Caenorhabditis elegans: one gene and its partner. The protein of the gene in region 1 purifies or fractionates together with the protein of each later gene. This does not show direct contact. Each region holds a gene or a part of one and is shown on either strand. Other genes may lie near its edges.

Region 1 (10,127 bases):
ATGACTATCACAAATATCTTCAACGAGTGCAAGAGAAATCAGATGACGATGAGCCAGGCATCAGTCTTAGTCAATGGGCAACTTTCAGTCGTTTCCTGAATAATTTGGCTGAATTTCAAAGTGCTGTTCGTTTGTATGTGAACAGTAATGTACCAGTCTCGGAACCGGAATTTGCTCGAGCTGTTGGATGTACTATTGGAAAAGAATTGGATCCGGTCGTTGTTTCAATGATATTTCGAATCTTTGACGAGAACAATGATGGAACACTTTCCTATCCAGAGTTTTTGGCTGTAATGAGTGATCGACTCCATCGAGGGCTTCGAGGACGACTTGAAAAACCTTGGGGCTGGAAACCGTTTAAGAATTGCGTTATAAGTGAAGTATCCCGTGCCTAATATAATTTTAAAACTTTTTTAAACAAAAGTATTTTTATCCCCGTGCTTGCCTTGTAGATATGTCGCTATTTTTCTTGCCTGTGTGTAAATAAGAATTTTTCTTTTAAAACAACTCAATTTATTAGAAACAACAGGGAAACGGTAACAAAAACAAGTTGAACAATTCAAAAAAGAGGAAATATGTTCAGTCAGTGGGGCTTTCTGTGTACAGCTGACGAATACGGTTTTTATTGAATCCTCCAAAATCCATCGTAATTGCTGGATAGATGGGAACAATATCTTCCTCGCAAAGTCGGAGCAATTTTCTGAAAAATTAAAATTGAATTTCTAAACTCCAGAGCTTTATTACCCCATTGGAGGCATAGTAGATCGATCTACCATATACATATCCATGAGTTCTTTCATCGCTTTTTCATTATTTCCAGCAACAATAAGTGAGAAATTGGCCATTCCATCAGATAATCCTTTTGTAGCAAACTGGTGCAGTTGAACATCTTTAATACTTCCTTTCAGTGTCCTCGCAACTGATTCGATTGCGGTTTTAGTTTCTGGATTTGGTGTATATGCAACGACGGCAAGAGATCCTAGATTCAATTGCTTATTGACAAAGAGAAGCTGATCAAGAACTTTCTTGGTCCGTTCATCGAAGTTCAACTCTGGATCAACGACATTCCAATCCCAGATGAGTGTTTCAAGACGTGGAAATCTGGAAGATCACAAAATATTACAATTCTAAAAGCTTTGTAGACTTACGATTGGGGCAGAACTTCGAGAAGTTGCTCAGCGTCCGTTTCTCCCAGGAATTTCAGCTCTTGAACCGCTAGAACTTTCACTGTCACAAATTCGATTCCTTTTTTGAACTCATTAACATCAACTCCAGGATTTCCAGACAATTTCATTAATGATACATCGATGTGTTGTTGAACTTCACTCAAAATATTATCGGAAAGATCAATTCCGCGCAGATTAAGTTCTGACAATCGTTTCAAAATTGTTGCCCACTCCGGTGTGGAAAATTTTGTTTCAGAAAAAGAGAATGCAGCCAGTAAAGTGAATTTATCCATAAGTTTCAGTAAACTTTCCGATGTGATATCTGTCATATGAAGCGATAGGGCTTTTACTTTCTCGAAGAAATGGCTGATCTGAAACCAGTTTTGGTAAATTTACATAGTTTAAAATAATGATACCTGTTCATTATTATAATTTTTTTCAATCACTTTAACCAATTCGTCACAAGGATTTCTACCAAAGTCTACTTCAACAAGTGTTGGTCGTAATTTGAACATTGCATCCCATGTCACTTCTACCAATTCTCCAGGCTGATCTTTGAATCCTATAAAATTATATTATAAAAAATACTTTCCTAAAAACACAAAAAACTTACCATAAAGATTTTCGCCAAATTTAGAGGCATTTTTTATTCGGAGGATGGTTCCTGGCATACTTTCAACGTAACTTCCACGGCTGGCCATCCAAACTAGGACGTTATCTGGTCGAGTTGATGCCATTCTACTTTTTAAAAATGGTTTAATATTTTAAACAATATTTATTCAAAAATTATCTAAAATAAAACGTTGGAACTTCAATCACAAGAATAAGTTCGCGAAAAAAGACAAAAATAAAAGTTGTCCGAGAGGAGTACACGAGTTTTGGGTTTCCCAGCCATTTGTGTTTTTCTAGGCACTTTTTGGCTAATTTCGCAATTTTCTCGTGACATTTTCGAGTAAACTCAGTCAATTCACTTGTGAATCATCTGTAAAAATCCATAAAAATGTCCGAATTAGAACAAGAAGAACCGGATGATGCTCTTCAAGCATCCAGAACAGCATTTGACTACATTTTCAAGCTGTTCTATCCAGTTTACTATTTTGTGACGATTCCTGTTCGAATTACTAACTGGTTCTTCACAAATTTTCCTGTATTTTCATCCCTATCACTATTCCTGTTTATTGCTACTGTATTGATCACTTTGTACGTCTATAGGCGATTGTCATCAACACCACGTGAAAGCTTTATCAGTTATATTCTATACACTGTGGTTCCGTACGGAGTGTCCATCGTCTACACAGTTGTTGGTTTCATTTTCCCTCAAGTGAGTTAATAATATATATTTTCTTTTTTTTATTTAAAAATTTTAACTAAAGAAAACACATTTTCAGGTCCGAATTGTCACACGAATTATCGATGTTCTCCTGCATCCAATCAAATTTATTCTGGGATTCATCGAAAAAGTCGATAATCGGTAAGTTCCGAAACAATGTTTGCTACTGAATTTATTAATTTTAATATTTCCAGAGCTGCTCCAATTCGTCGCACAGTAGAAGCAATCCACGGACCAAAGCCACCAAAAGCAGGTGTAAAGTAGGTTTTTTTTTGAATTTTTGAACATGATCAAGTTGTTCGAATAGTAAAAATTATTTAAAAAATGTACCTGTGAAAATTAATGTGTTCTTATTCAAAAAATGTTATCAGTTTTTTTTTGTAATTTAACATTTTATATTACCATGTAATATCAAAAAGTTCATTATCAAAAAAAATTCAACCCACCTCTTCAATATGTCACTTTCAGATCGGTTGAAGATTCTATCAACGAAGCTCGACTTCAATGTTTCCTGTGTAAATTGACTGAGAAACGTGTTCTGCTCCGCCCATGCAATCATCTCTGCTTTTGTGAACCTTGCAATGATACCTTCCAGAAGCAGATACCTCTACTATGTCCAATATGCCACATGCATGTTCAGTCGTTTGAAATTGTACATTTCTGATTATCATATCCATTTACACATTTCTGTATATTTTAAATCAAAACATCCATTTTCCAACCTGCCTACCTTTTAAAATCCCCATGATTCTCCATTACCAGTTTTCATTGATGCGTGTACGACTTTTCCCTATCTGACAATTCTGTTAAATATTGATCTAAAAATTAGAAACTCTATTAGCTAATAAATCTTGAGTCAATTCGTGTGTTTGACAAGCCATGCATGGTCGGTGATGATTTACGTCAAAACTATGCCTGAACTAGACAAGCGTAATCGCGACATTATCTAGCAAAATGAATGTTCTGAAACTACAATTCAAACAATTTTTGAGAAAAAAACCATTTTATTACTTTTACGACGTTTGCGCTAAAACACAGTTCCCGGTCTCGACACGACAATTTTTTTGTTAAATACAAGAAGGTATGCGCCTTGAAAGAGTACTGTAATTACAAACTCGTGGCTGCAGAACTTTTATCGACTATTCGCGACTATTTACACGTGGTGTACACCATGGTGTCAGAATGCCCCATGTCGGTTTGATCTTCAAAAAATGCGGGAGGTGAGACGCAGACATCTCAACTGATTTCGCATGGTTTCGAGCGTGCTGACGAAATCTGGGAAAAAAAATTCCCGCATTTTTTGTAGATCAAACCGTTATGTGACAGCCTGTGCGACTACTCATTGTTTTCCGATAAACAATTATATATTTATTCAGAAACTCAATAAAGACTAAGTTTTCAAAATAAATCGAGGGAAAAATGAATGAAAATTCCGCAGAAACGAGAATTTGAAAGTACTTTATTTTTAAAGGTGCACATCTTTTCGCATTCAACAAAAAATTTTGTACTGTATTTGAGTCACAAAAAAATCACAAAATTTCGCGTCTGGATAATAGCGTTCGGATCTCTGCTCTGCCGTTCCCCTCATCGATGATCCACTGCTCAATTCGTTTCACATCCCATTCGTCCCCGCATAATGACGTGGCTTCTTCTTTTTTCCATTCCCCCAGTCTCATTCCGTTCGCTCAAGTGTTTTTTGCTTCCAGCTCTCCCCGCACAAAAAAAGTTGGGCGGTCTATTCTCTTACTCTTGAACCATGTTTCATGCTTCTTCTCGCCCCACTTATCGACTCGAAGTCCCCACGCCGGTCGGTTCCCAATGGACCGATTAACATATGATCGCGTGTTCGGTCTCTCCTTCATTTTCTCCTGTTATGGCTCTGCTTTTCTTCTTCGACACTTACTTCATACATACTTCACTTTGTTCCAGTCCGTACACACTTTTTTTTCTCTTTTAGAAATACACGACTAACATCATCAGGAGACGGATTAGTTTCTCTCCCATGAAATTGAGATGACGCTGTTAATTTCTTGTTCATTTTTCCTACTATCTTAGTACACTAGACTTTTTGACTTTATTTTCTTGTTTTGAAACTTAATTTGGCTCAAAATTCAGTTACCGTATTTTATATGTACCTTGAACCATGATTAAAGTGGGGTATTATAATTATAAACACAAATCCTACATGACTGAGCAATATATGTAATAGACTCTGACTGTTAGATTTAAAAAATTGTTAGCTAAAGTTTTGATAAATTGCCAAGTTTTTCAAAAATGCGATTTTTTTCGAGTAATCTCGAGTATTGCTTCGAATTTTTAGAATGTTAAAATACGAACAACTGCAACGAAACTGAAATATAAAATTTGCAGAAAATTTTGAATGCACATAAAAAATTACAAAAAAGTTTGATAAAGTTTTACTATGATATTTGGGCATTATTAGCACTATAGGAGCGATTTGAAACAATTTTCCTACTAGCGATATCTTCAAGAGGAAAATTGAAACGAATGTAAACATTTAGAAAGTTATGAAAAATATACTGTAAGTTGAACATTTTTCACTATCATTTTCAGTTGTTTAAAGTTTTACTCACTCATATGCTCATTTCTTCACACATTTTCACTTATTTTGGAAGTATTTCTAATTTTAAAAAAAAAATTCTTAAATTAGAAACTATATGTTCACTTTTACAGACGGAGCTCCATGTAACAAGTAAACCTTTCAAAAAATTATACGACAAGTGTATATAATGGAAATTTATATGATTTATAGATTTATATGATGTACCTGACGAGCCATGTTTCTGTGAGCTCCAAGATGCTCACTACATCTCAAAAATTGAAAAAGTTGCATTATTTTTAGTGACTTAATTACTGCGGTAATTCCATGCTACAGCGTGATTCAAAAAATTTGAATTTTCCTAATGAGACCCACTTTTGTGAATTTTCCCCTTTTTTAGAATTCTAGAAGTCCAAAACACAAGTATCTTCGTATAAATTGATCTACAAGGACTTCAATATAAACTTTCATTTCTCAATTTACTTGATAAGTGCTCACGCAATATGGAACGTATGATGTTGTTACCATGTCAATCAAAACATAAATAAGTCCCATCTAGCCGTCGTTTCCTTTTCCTTCTGAGAAATAATAAATGTTGGTGAATACTAGAAAGTACCTTTTTTCACATATATTTTTCAATTCACAAGAAACCCCCTCATTCCTTTTTCTTTCACTTTAATCGCAAATTGTCGCAATATGTCTGTCATCTTTGTGGTACGTCAGGCGTAAAAAATGAAAGAGCCTTTCGTTCGGATCATCATAAATTTTCAGAAAAAAGGATAGGATTAAAAAGGGGAATTCAGAAATTTACTTTCAAAAAATAGTTTGTCAATTCCGCCTTTTCTTTATGTTTCATAATAGTTTCAAAAATGAGCTTTTTATTTGAAATAGAACATTTACGAAAGTGGTTTGTGTTGGTTTCTAAGAGAAGGCAAAATGGATTAACATAAAAAGTTGTGAAATGACTTTTCTCAAAAAATGGGAAAAAAGAATCCAGACAGACTCTGGTCTTTCTTCTGTTATTCCAGCTATTTAAAAACGGTGTTAGATCAAATAAAATTGAATATTAGATAAATGAAATTATTATTTTAATATTGCGAACCCGCAGAATACATTCAGATATCTAGAACTAGGGAAACAAACGCCGCATTTCATTTGGTTCAAAATTTGAAAAAACGTATTTTGAGGTTGTGTATTTTTTCAGGTCTTGAGTGTACTCAACAAAGCTTTACCAGAATCTGAAATTTAAAATACAAATTCTTGGATTAAAAAAATACCAGGTTAGAAATTATCCATAACTTGAGTTAAAGTTAATTTCTAAATTTAAATTCTAAAATTTTCGATTATACATACATAACTTAAAATCAGCTGAAAATGAATCACAACTTTTCATATCAGTTCACATTTCCAACATTTATTGGTTTATGCCTTACTAAACTCTTGTTAAGAACTACTTTCATTTTCATATTGTATTTTTTCCATATTTAAAACTTGAGTTCCAACTATTTCATAAATGTAACATTTCGATCTCCAAATGAATCTCTTTCAAAGAATCTTCGCCTAATTAATCCACAACCCTCCCCCACATTTTTCGTTTCTTCAAATTTGCCGACTTCTTCATTACTTCGTATTATGAGTTGGAGCTTTTTTCAAAAAAAAGTTAAAAAATGAAGTGCACTCTTCGTAAAGCGTAATTTTTAATATCACTCTCTCTACTACACAGCAAGAAAAAGTTGAACACTCAATGTGTATTATCACTTTGCTCCACTATTTTTGATAGACTTTCCAGTTTTTTATCTTTTCCAGAATTTCCGTTGCTTTGCAATTCTCTTTGATGACGTCAAGTTTGGCTTCAAATTTAATTCTGAGCTTTGTCCTAACTTCTGACGCATTCTATTTTATTTACCGTAATCATAGAGACCCGCTCGACTGCGATCATGGACGCTATCCCAAAAACTAACTTAAAATGAATACCAATTTGAATTGGTGGATAGATTAAGTGGAAAAAAGAGAAAAGGCAAAATGAGAAGAAGGCATCGAAAATAAGATAAATTGAACTCTCTTTTTCCTCGGCTTTCACCAACTTCCATCACCACTTACTTATGTTTGTTTTTCGTTTAGGAAAATGAAGACGTAAGAATATCTTGGGTAATACATATTTACGTTTTATTTTTAGAATCTTTTATGCTAGCTCTCGAGTTCTTTCAAAGAATAAGTTGTTTACGATTTTGTAGTTTTGCACTTGGTGAATCTTTAACCTGACTATGATCCGACCGCATTACCATGAATTTTGAATTGTTCATGACGTTGTATTCAAACGTTGTTTTCAAAGAACTTTGTTTTCAGTATTCATTTAACTTTTTGAAGTTTTTTGAAAATAGTTGTTTTTGAATTTTTTCGTTAACAAATTATTCTCTGTTTTCATTAGCTGCAGGAGAGCTCTAGAGCAGTTTAAACTTGACAAAAACTTGTTCTGACTTGGTTTAGAACGCGCTCAAGTACCCAAGTCTGGCCGAACACTTGCCAATATCATTTGTCCCAAAATTAAAATGACACAAGGAAAACAGTCAAAGCATGAGTTGGATCAAACTTGGGCTAAACATAGGCCTGGGCTAAACCAAGTCTTTTTAACTGTTACTGAAGGTTAGCCAACTTCAGAACCAAGTTAATATTTTTGAACCAAACTTGAACACAACGTTGGCAGTGATGCCGAGAAGGGTAGAAAAATAAGCTAGAAACTTTTTGGGAATCTTTTTTGACACCAATATGAATCTTTTTCACTCGATCAAAATAAATCTTGAAAGCTCTTCAAATTCAACAAGGTATCACAACATCGAAATTAGATGCGGAAGAAATTATCTCTAGGGAAACTGTATAAATATCGATTTTGGTGAAATTGCCTGAAACTTTTTCAGATCAACTTCATTCTAGTTCAAATTTTTACTCTGAAGTTAACAATCTCAACCGAATAAATTTTTGTTGACAGGATATTAAGAAAGAAAACTAAATCGTACTTCTTTTCTTAGAAAATACCAATTTCCAGCTTATCGTAAAATGTTCCAGTTTTTTTAGAAAACACTTAAAGAAAGAAAAGCTTACGTCTAGATGCTCAAAAACAAAATTGTCGGATCTATTCAATAGCAAAAGATAATTGACTAAACTCAGGAAATAAAAAGTCTTCGATGAAATGTGAAAATGTGAAAATATGTTTTCAAATGTTGAAATAATTCTGAACATTTTGAAGAAATCTTCAAAATGCAAAGACCCACGAACTTTTACTTTTATGAATCATAATCGAGAATTCAAATATAATAAAAAGCAACCACAAAGTTCAGACCATATGGCAAAGAACATTTTCAAGATTTCCTAGCCAAACAATTGGTAACAAATGTATCGCCCATTTTACTTTTGCAACTTTCAAACTCTTAGATGCTTTATAAAGTTTTATAGCATCTTCAATAGTTTTTTTTGAAATTATGAGTTTCTGAAGTTTTACAGTGAAAGCTATTTTAAATATTTTTGTTTCAATTTCCTTTTTTTCAAAAAAAAGTTGATATTTGAATAAAACATCCTCAATTTTCTTTCAATAAAACTGCCAAAATGATTTTTAAAACTTTTTCCGAGGCGTCAGGGGGGCTCATCTTGCCTTCTTACAGGCCCTCCTTGAGTCGCGCACTCCAAAATATCCAGTCTAAAAATGTTTTTCTTCATCAAAAAATCTTTTATATAAAACCTAAAACTATTTTGAACATGTCATGTATCCAGTTTATAGTTTCGCCAGATGTTTGACCTCACTTGCTCTCTTTCAAAAATTTTCTTTATTTTCCGCCAATCTATTGCTTCAATCTTTTTCTATTCAGCTCAACACACCTTCTAACCACCTTATTTGTTCCATACATTTTCCTCATTCCAACCCGAATCACGTTTTCCAAATAAGATACGACATTTACTTAAGAATGGTAATTCACAAGAACGAAAGGAAAACCAGAAATCCTCCAAGAAATCCGATCTCAATATCATAGTTTTTTTAAAGTTTAAGGTTACAAACATGAATAGGCAGGAAATTGGATATCAAATGTCTTTTATTATTATTGGTTTCTGGAATGAATATACTAGTTGATCAGATAATCTTGTTACTTTTATAGATATTTTCCATCTTGGCTTGTGACGTGAAAATTTCAAGATTTACTCGTTTTATGGCTGGAATTTCGAATTGATTGGAAACCAGTCTTAAACAAGATCCGGCAGTTGAATAATTCAATGAATCAGTTTTGTTGTGCTTTCAGTCAAGAATGCTTATTTTTGTTCAATGAGATTAGCCAGTGGTGTCAAAATTCAAGAAAATTCCTCTTTCTTGTTTTTCGTTCAATTTTCAAGTTTGTTGTATGTATTTCTGTACTTTCCAATTTTTAAAAATTATCTCTAAACGCTAATTTTTGAACATTCTTTTAAAAAAAGCATTGAAAAAATGAAGATGACAAAGTTTATTAACGACATGTATAAATAAACTCCAAAAAAACTTTTGCAAAGAATAAATTCCAAGAAGCTCTTTCAAAGGCTCCCATGGTCAACTAAAAACACTTGATCAGTATTTATTCGTTTTGAAAAACTTGCCGCGTTTTCATTATAAAACTTCATAACTAAAAATACTATTAAAAAGCAAGTTTGAAACCGGTTCGTTAACTATCTATCAAATAATTAATTTTCTAGAAAAATTTATGTTTCATTTTTTATTCCTCATAAAATCCTTTCAGTACGCAAAATTGAACAATTAATCACCCGATTCTTCTGCTTCATATAACTTCCACTTGAAATCATCACAAGCTTCTTTTCTCGTATTACGAGGTCAACCTGAGTCATCATATCAAAATCTCCAATCTTGTATTTATTATTTCCGCTCTTGATTAATTCTATGTTCAGCCACTTTTAAGACGTGGCGTCTCCCAGCTTCTTATTGAAAACACTGAATTTAGAGGAACTATCCTTCTCATAAATACTATTTTAAACCTTGTTTGCAAAACTATCAAACAAAAGTTCAATATTCAGAATATCAAAAAACTTCCCAAAGGTT
Region 2 (9,373 bases), on another chromosome or scaffold:
CTCTCTGTGGCTTCCCACCATATTTTACTCTCTGTGGCTTCCTACTATTATTTACTCTCTGTGGCTTCCCACTATTATTTACTCTCTGTGGCTTCCCACCATATTTTACTCTCTGTGGCTTCCCACTATTATTTACTCTCTGTGGCTTCCCACTATTATTTACTCTCTGTGGCTTCCCACCATATTTTACTCTCTGTGGCTTCCCACTATTATTTACTCTCTGTGACTTCCCACCATATTTTACTCTCTGTGGCTTCCTACTATTATTTACTCTCTGTGGCTTCCCACCATATTTTACTCTCTGTGGCTTCCCACTATTATTTACTCTCTGTGGCTTCCCACTATTATTTACTCTCTGTGGCTTCCCACCATATTTTACTCTCTGTGGCTTCCTACTATTATTTACTCTCTGTGGCTTCCCACCATATTTTACTCACTGGCTTCACAGTAGATTTTACTCTCTGGCTTCACAGAATAATTTACTCTCTGGCTTCGCAGAATAATTTACTCTCTGGCTTCACAGAATAATTTACTCTCTGGCTTCACAGTATATTTTACTCTCTGGCTTCACAGAATATTTTACTATCTGGCTTCACAGTATAATTCACTCTCTGGCTTCACAGAATAATTTACTCTCTTGCTTCACAGAATAATTTACTCTCTGGCTTCACAGTATATTTTACTCTCTGGCTTCGCAGAATAATTTACTCTCTGGCTTCGCAGAATAATTTACTCTCTAGCTTCACAGTATATTTTACTCTCTGGCTTCACAGAATAATTTACTCTCTGGCTTCACAGAATAATTTACTCTCTGGCTTCACAGAATAATTTACTCTCTAGCTTCACAGAATAATTTACTCTCTGGCTTCACAGAATGATTTACTCTCTGGCTTCACAGAATAATTTACTCATCTGGCTTCACAGAATAATTTACTCTCTGGCTTCACAGAATAATTTACTCTCTGGCTTCGCAGAATAATTTACTCTCTGGCTTCACAGAATAATTTACTCTCTGGCTTCGCAGAATAATTTACTCTCTGGCTTCACAGTATATTTTACTCTCTGGCTTCACAGAATATTTTACTATCTGGCTTCACAGTATAATTCACTCTCTGGCTTCACAGAATAATTTACTCTCTTGCTTCACAGAATAATTTACTCTCTGGCTTCACAGTATATTTTACTCTCTGGCTTCGCAGAATAATTTACTCTCTGGCTTCGCAGAATAATTTACTCTCTAGCTTCACAGTATATTTTACTCTCTGGCTTCACAGTATAATTTACTCTCTGGCTTCACAGAATAATTTACTCTCTTGCTTCACAGAATAATTTACTCTCTGGCTTCGCAGAATAATTTACTCTCTGGCTTCACAGAATAATTTACTCTCTGGCTTCACATTATATTGTACTCTCTGGCTTCACAGTATAATTTACTCTCTTGCTTCACAGAATAATTTACTCTCTGGCTTCGCAGAATAATTTACTCTCTGGCTTCACAGTATATTTTACTCTCTGGCTTCACAGTATAATTTACTCTCTAGCTTCACAGTATAATTTACTCTCTAGCTTCACAGTATATTTTACTCTCTGGCTTCACAGTATATTTTACTATCTGGCTTCACAGTATATTTTACTTTTTGGCTTCACAGAATATTTTACTCTCTTGAAAATGTTTCTTCGGGGACTTGTTTCAAATTTTAAGCGCTTTCAGAATTTAATTACAAAATTTTTCTAGGTGCCAGAAGCTTCCAGTTCAATCAAAAAAACTGAATTTCAGGCATATATATGACATCATTTTTGTTATTTCTGGACACACAAACAAGTTCATCTCATTAGTTCTTGTAAAAAATTGTGCCGCATTTTCAAAACTAACTCTAATTTTCAAATGTTGGCGTTCTTTGCATTCTGGACACACAAACAAAATAGGTATATGACTATTTGAAGAGAAATATCAAGTTTCTAAACATTCAATCTGCAAAAACTGGCAATATCTCATCATTTGTTTATCAAAATTTGTTTAGCTTTCTTTCCGTGCAAACTTTCTGTAGACGATTCCGTTGACCTATAAATTGACGTCTGTCATTTTCTTTCTTCATTACAAAATGTTCGTTTTGGCAATAGTATTTGCATTCGTTTTTATTCCATCTTCTTCTTCTGTCACTTGTGATTTCAAAAATGAACTTGTTTCGATGAACTGGAATGTTAAAAACAATAAAATTCAAATTCATTTCGAGCACAATAATCTAACTGAAAATAGATGGACTTCGATAGCTTTTGGAGATGGACCTGGAATGGTTAGTTGTACTCAATTTTATTAAAAATAAATTCAGTGTATTTTTTTTTTAAAAAGTCAGAATAATACAGAGAAGTTCATTATATTATCCCCAAACAACGTTAATAAACTTCCTCCAGAACAACCTGGAATCGATTATATTTTCCCGTAGAGAAGACAATGTGATAACAACAAATTCTGGATATACACCAAAAAAGAAGAAAGTCGTGGTGGATGATGTTTCTTATGTGACAGTTAATGATGTCCAAATCACCGGGAACAAGCTGAAAGTTACAGTGAGCCGACCTTTGGGTCCAGCTGGTCCAAGAAACTTCTCATTGGATCAGTGTTTGAATTGGATGGTTGTACCGGGAGGAAGCTTAAGCAACGGAAAATTCAAGAAACATCATGGCAAAATTTTTTTCATCAAGGTTGGTGGAGAATATTTCGAGAAGATTTAATGTTGTACATAACTTACTTTTTTCTGAAATTCGTCATCAATTGGCCGCTATGTCAACCAAATTAAAGCTGCGGATTTTCCTTTTTTCCGTGTTTTGACGGAACACTTATTTTTCGTTTTCCTCAAAAAATAAGAGCGTGAAAACTCATAAATATTAAAACGGATGAGTGCTGAGAGGGCCTTATAAATACATGTGAACCTGCAAAATCCGTCACTCACTAGAATTGTTGTGGTCCCTATAAACCTTGAGCATGTTTGAAGAAGTAGTAGAACTTTCTAATCTTACGTTCCAACAACATTCAATTCTGATTTTATGAATTTTGCTAATTCCTAAAGAAAACGTTATTGTTCTCTCAAAAATCACTTCTTATTACTTTTCCCTCGTTCCTCGTTCGCAGTTGGTTTTTCCGAAACAAATATCTGTTCCTTTGTTTGATTGAACTGGAAAAGAGTAATGTCGAAATCCTTGGTAATTTGCTTCGTATCTCAAATTTTTTCATGAAATATTTATTACAGGACGTCTGTGCTGCAAAATGTACTGCTGAAAGGATCCAAAGAATCAATTCAAATAAAGCACTATAAAAACATTACTAACATTTTCACATTGAATTCATTAATTAAATTGTTAATTAACTGTCAAATCAAAACCATTAATAAATTTTATGAGCCGAGTTTTGCTTTAAAAGCTTTGTCTGTAGAGCTCAAACACCTATGCCAAATATTATGGAAACTTGAACCCCTATAGCAATAAACACAGTTTTCAGTAGGAAGAAACACTGTTTTTTTTAATTAAAAGTTTCACGTGGTTCAAAAATATTTACAAGTAATAAATTTTTTGAAAGGGAATAAAATAATTCAATGTATAGTTTTACGGAAAGTTTTTGATTGATTTTCTAGCGAGAAATCGTAGTTTAAACATTAATTCAGACTCTATTTTGAATCAGAACAAAAGAAGACGGCAAAAATTGAGATCACCAAACCATCCATATCGGTACAAACATGCTGTACTAAAAGTAGATAAGGAGGGTCAAAGATAATACTACTGATGAGCTTCTTGAAATATATTTGATTAACTGATTGCCATGGATTATTTGTAAATCCTTTCTCAAGCGTTTCCCCTACAAAACCATGTGTAACTTTTTTTTCTATTTTCTTTTACATCTTAAAGTTTGCCACCGAAAATACCAGAGCAAGTAGACACACACATACACTTGGCACATTGTTGGACTACAAACTCTCGTACCCAGATACACAAAAACCACGATGGTAAACACTGTGATGACCGAGTATAAAAGGGAGCACATGATGAGTTGAAACAGACAGTACATCCATTTGAAACTCTCACATTCGAAAAATGTTCCGATCCATTGCTGTTCTTTCGGCTCTTCTTTTTGCCTTTGCATCCGCCAAAACATGCAAATACGACAGTTCCGATTTTGAAGTTTACTGGCGATTCGCTAATAATTCGATTAATATGCAATTCATGAACACTGATATTAAAAATAACGAATGGACTGGAGTTGGGTTTGGAGATGATAAGGTAAGAAAATTGACAACATCTAATGCAGTTTATCCTAGATATCCAAAATAAATTTGAACAAATTCACATTCCAGAACAACTTTGTCGGAGTCTTCTTCATGGTGTCCAACAATCAAGTTACTGTCCGTACAGGATCAACCACTCAACACGGACCACCAACTTTCACTCAATCTGGAACAAACACTGCTTCAGTATCCACTCAAGCACTAAACTATTTCCCAGAGGATAAGACAATGAGTGCTGTCGTTCAAATTCCAATTCAATTCAATGGAAGAAGCCTTCAATCGTGCCAAAAATGGAGGGTAAGGCATTTTTTGTAGCTTTACTAAAAGTTCTTCAAATGTAAAATTTTTTCAGTTCGTCAAGTCTGGCAAAATCGAAAACGGACAACTCACCCGTAACGATAAGTCGCCAAAGGAGAAGAAAGTGTGCCCAATGGAATGCAATTAAGCTCCGCCCTTTTACTTATTCATGAATAATCATGTTTCAATTTGACCATGTAAATAATTGTTTTTCTCATATCGGGATCATCTTTTTTCTCTCACTGTTTCAAAAATAATTGAATTTCAATTTAAAAACGATAACTTCGACCAATAAACGGTTCGACTAGAAATCAACGAACAAACGTGAACATTGTCAGCGTGGCTACCGTAACCCGTCAAAATCAAATACACTTTGTTATTGTCACAATTGTGCCATTCGTTTTGTTTGAACAAGAAAAAACTGTGTTTGACAACTTCGTAAAAAACTTAAGAACTGATGGCGGAAAGGTTCACTAGAACAAATAAAAATATTAATAAAAAATTAATAAAAAAATCGGTGTGTGTGTGTTTTAATAGGGGCTACATTATTTATTCATTCGTTTCAGAGTGCCATAAAGTGAATGAAATAATCTACAACTGTATTTGCTTTCAATTGTTTGGATTATAAATTCCATTTGGTATTTCGCTCAACAATCCTATCCTACTTGGCTAGAAAACACCTTCGAAAGAGTGTAAACTGAAAATTAAATTGTAGAAATCACAACAATATATACATATTTGAAAATTTAAACAAATGTGAGCACCGCATTTTTTTGTCTTCGTCATGTCTGCAAGAGAGCGTAATAAATTAAATTATATTAAATTCTAAAATATCACACTAGAAAGCGAGCCGGTCACGAGGCGTCCGTTGTACGCCTCAACCCATGTGAAATGTCTAGTTTGAATGTATCAAGAGAAGAGTTTATGTAATATCCTTTTTGAAAATTGAATAAAATACATACTTTAATTTCGAATAGTTACCTACTAAATATGAGCTAATTTTTTTTACGTGATCTTTTCATTTTGCTCTATTGGTTGTTTTTTTAATATGGGTAATAAAACTGTATTGCTGAAATTATTGCAAGTACATACATATACACTGATTTCTGCATGTTGTTGATGATTATTCGTTGATAATAAATAGTTGATGATTCAATGTACTAAATTTCAGATAGTATATAATAAGGAAACAACAATAAAAGCGTTGTAAAAAATATTACCTTCACACTGAATTATATTTTTAAACAGTGTGCCTTCATATACTAAATAAAAATTAGTTTTCATTTATGGGGTTATTCAAGTAGTGTCGGAAAATTAAAAAGTGTAGAAAAATTAGGTCATAACTGTAATAAAACACGTAAAAATATGTGTTTTAATACAGTTGTGACGTCATAAATGTATTTTAATACATTTTGCAACATTACTTGAATAACCCCATTAGAGGTGTCGTCATAATTTTAAAGTTAAGAGTTAATAATTTTAAAGTTAAGAGTCATAATTTTAAAGTTAAGAGTTAATAATTTTAAAGTTAAGAGTCATAATTTTAAAGTTAAGAGGCACATTTAGTCCGAGTATCCCTTGTGAGTGCCGAAAATGATGTTGTCGCGTTTTCCAGAGGTTAAACCCTGGCTACGCGCATGTTGTAGCAGTATTCCAAAGTCTAAAAGAATGCATTTGAAATTTAAGTTTACAATCAGCATGGCATTGTATATAACGTCCCCGATTGCTAAGAAAGGCAAATGATATAATTTAAAAATTTCAAATACTATTTATCGAACACTACATATGGACATTTTTTCAATCACAAGCAGGTGGCCGGTAATTTTAACGCTTGAGGGATGAGAGTTTGGTTTTTACAGGGATGCGAGTTTTTTTTGGGCATATTTTGAGTCCCGTGATTCGGAGAGTTTCAGAAAAAAAATATACAAAAAAAGCCCCACTGCATTAAAAAACAATCACTTAAATAATAGCTAAAAAGTGACCATATGCATCCAATTTCCTAGATAATTTTTTAACTATTTTTGAGAAAAGAAAAGTGTCGCGGTGTTCAACAAGTTGTTTTTGCAGACATTTTCGTTAATATAGTCTATGCTCTCTGAAGTTTGCCAATCGGTTAAAAATTTACGAATTTTCCAAATATTTGCCACGTCTTTTTCTCATATTCTCTTCAATTCATTATCACTCTCTTCAAAATTTCATTCAAATGTTTACCAATCGTCACCTACTAACAAAAACTTATGTTTTCCTCGACCGATGAGACACCCACCTAAATAACTCGAAATGTCAATATCGCAGAATTGGTTTAAATAGCAGGAGACAAAAATTATTTGAAAACTATTTGAAATTTGAAGAAATCAAAAGAATGCTATCTCAAACGATTATTCTACTGCTCATTTCAATTGGAACTGTGGCTTCACAGACTTGCAAGTTTTCAAAATCCGCAGTGAAGGCCAATTGGAAAATTCAAAATGGGGCATTGCAAATTCAATATCAAAATAATAGAATTACCAATAATCAATGGACTGCAATTGGATTTGGACCCGGAATGGTTGGTTACAAACAATTAAAATAGTTTACTGAAAAATTAATTCTTAGTTTTGAATAACATACAAGGACGAATCACAATTTTAATGTTAAGTCTAACTTTGAGGTACTTTTTTGAATATCTAAAAATTATATTATTAAAAATATTATTTTGATTTTCGCTATTATTGAAGTTTGGCTTGACAAATTTTGAAAAAAAAATGTGGGAAAGATATCGCCAGCTTAGACGAATTTAAAATTCATGATCATGTTCAAAAATAAAATATTTCAGTCAAACCTGAACGTAATCGTATTCATAGTCCAAAATAGTCAAGTGACTGTACGTACCGGAAGAACATCTGGATATGGTCCACCATCTTTTGATAATCAAAGCAGTGTTAGTGTTCAAATGGCAAATCATTCTGGATCAACACTCAATGCTCTTGTCAATGTCCCATTAAACTTTAATGGAATGAATATTCAAAATTGTCAGACTTGGAATGTAAGTTCGAATATTAAAAAAATAATCTCGTATTTAATTCAATCAATGATTTTTCAGTTTGTACAAAGCGGTCCAATCAACAACGGAAATATGGGTGTACATACATCGAGACCAGATCAAGTCAATAATGTTTGTGCGTCACAGTGCAGATAAAAATTGTATTTTTTAAATTCTAAATTTGATCGATTTGATATTGTTCATTAAAATGAAATTGCATTTGTTTAAATTTCGCTAAAGTTGAATAGTGACAAATTACAAACTGAAACTTGTATATATTTTTTTCAGTAGCTCAAAAACATTCAGAGAAAAGTTCTATGTATAGAATTTCCTTGAAGTTAAAAACTTGTATTTTCAGAAAAAAAAAAATAGGCTAGACACATGAACACCTGTTCATACTTGAGGTTCAAAGTATCAACTGGCGTCATATTTTTTTTGTAAATAGCCATTTCATCTTACTATCAGAACCATTTGTGTTCATTTGTTTTGTTTGTAATTTTGGAAATTAAAGGAGACGAGTTTTTTTTTGTAAAGCATACCAAGATTACCTTCATTTCTAACAATTATACGAGAATTTATTTCTAAAAAACAATTATTTCTGCATTTAATTATGGTATTATCAAAGTATTCAAGTTTTTGCGATAACAGTTTTTTTCTAAAACATCTTTAATTTCCCAAATTCTAGAATGCGATAGTTTTTTCATGATGACGTCAATTTATTTCCCTGAAGCTCTAAAATAATTTTATACGCTTTTCCCGTTTTTTTATGCAATTCAAATTCTACTGAACTCCAATGTTTTCAGATTTTTCGAAGTTTTCAGTCAACGTTTTGGTTAATTTCCAAATATTTGAAACATTTGTATTTTAATTTTTGTTTTTTTAGCAACGCTGCATATTTGAACACTAGAAAGTTTTTATACAAATAATTGAACTTATAATTATAATATAAAAAATGAAAATATAATATGAAAATATAAAATGAAATTATAATATAAAACTTGCAGAAATAATTGTATTTTATTCGATTACGACTGGACCTGAAACCACAATACTCCATTCTTTTTTGTTCAGCCGTAACATTTTATTAATTTTTCGTATTATAAAAACTGAAAACTTGATATCTGAAACTAACCCCACAATCAGAAAGTATCGGTCAAATGACGCATTGAAAACAAAGAAAAATTGATTTGGGGAACCTCTGTCCGTTTTTGGAATGTTATTGTCTTCTACAATTTTTCCCCCAAAATAATGATCACTATTGTTTAATTGTATCACTCATGTCGTTCATACACTGGTATGACATCTTCAACCTATCTTCTTTTTTTTTGGCAATCAGTTCATTCTTTCACCATTTTTTCCGTTTTCTCCCATCTAATTTTTCCAAATCACTAACAAACAAGCAATTCTTTATTTTCTATCACTGATTTGTGTCCAGTCTTCTTGTTTTCCAATGATTTTTGATTCTCATTCTCTTCCTTTTTTCATTCATATAATCTCGTTAATTATTAACAGTTTCTTTCCAAATTCACTAAATTCTGCAAAAAAAATGTTTCTCATTCGGAAGCTGTAACCGTGTAATAGAACAAATTCTGTGAAAAAAATCAATTCCTGCGGGATAACATTGCACCTGGCATTCTGAATTTGAAAAAAAAGACACGTCATCTAAAAAAGTCTAGAATCGAATTCTCAAACATCGCTAGATCCTCCGCATTTACATTTCAAGTAACATTTAAATTTAAAGTGTTCCCACGATTCTCCAGATTTTGTCGATCCATTT

What was found.
Region 2: the proteins of C56A3.5 (region 1) and Y73F4A.2 fractionate together in Caenorhabditis elegans (co-fractionation; one large-scale study listed by BioGRID). This does not show direct contact.

The regions. Positions count from the first base shown.
Region 1 is NC_003283.11:13,543,747-13,553,873, reverse strand, and holds C56A3.5 (Leucine-rich repeat-containing protein), read right to left. Parts: upstream 1,908-10,127; 5' UTR 1,904-1,907; coding exon 1,780-1,903; intron 1,729-1,779; coding exon 1,583-1,728; intron 1,538-1,582; coding exon 1,149-1,537; intron 1,102-1,148; coding exon 745-1,101; intron 701-744; coding exon 580-700; 3' UTR 501-579; downstream 1-500. Other genes in the region: micu-3 (EF-hand domain-containing protein), read left to right, coding at 1-395; C56A3.4 (RING-type domain-containing protein), read left to right, coding at 2,167-2,487, 2,555-2,637, 2,691-2,756, 2,965-3,160.
Region 2 is NC_003282.8:9,038,024-9,047,396, reverse strand, and holds Y73F4A.2 (DOMON domain-containing protein Y73F4A.2), read left to right. Parts: upstream 1-4,049; 5' UTR 4,050-4,086; coding exon 4,087-4,272; intron 4,273-4,346; coding exon 4,347-4,574; intron 4,575-4,629; coding exon 4,630-4,722; 3' UTR 4,723-5,010; downstream 5,011-9,373. Other genes in the region: DOMON domain-containing protein Y73F4A.1, read left to right, coding at 2,103-2,294, 2,413-2,703, 3,249-3,314; Y73F4A.3 (DOMON domain-containing protein), read left to right, coding at 6,937-7,122, 7,390-7,599, 7,657-7,752.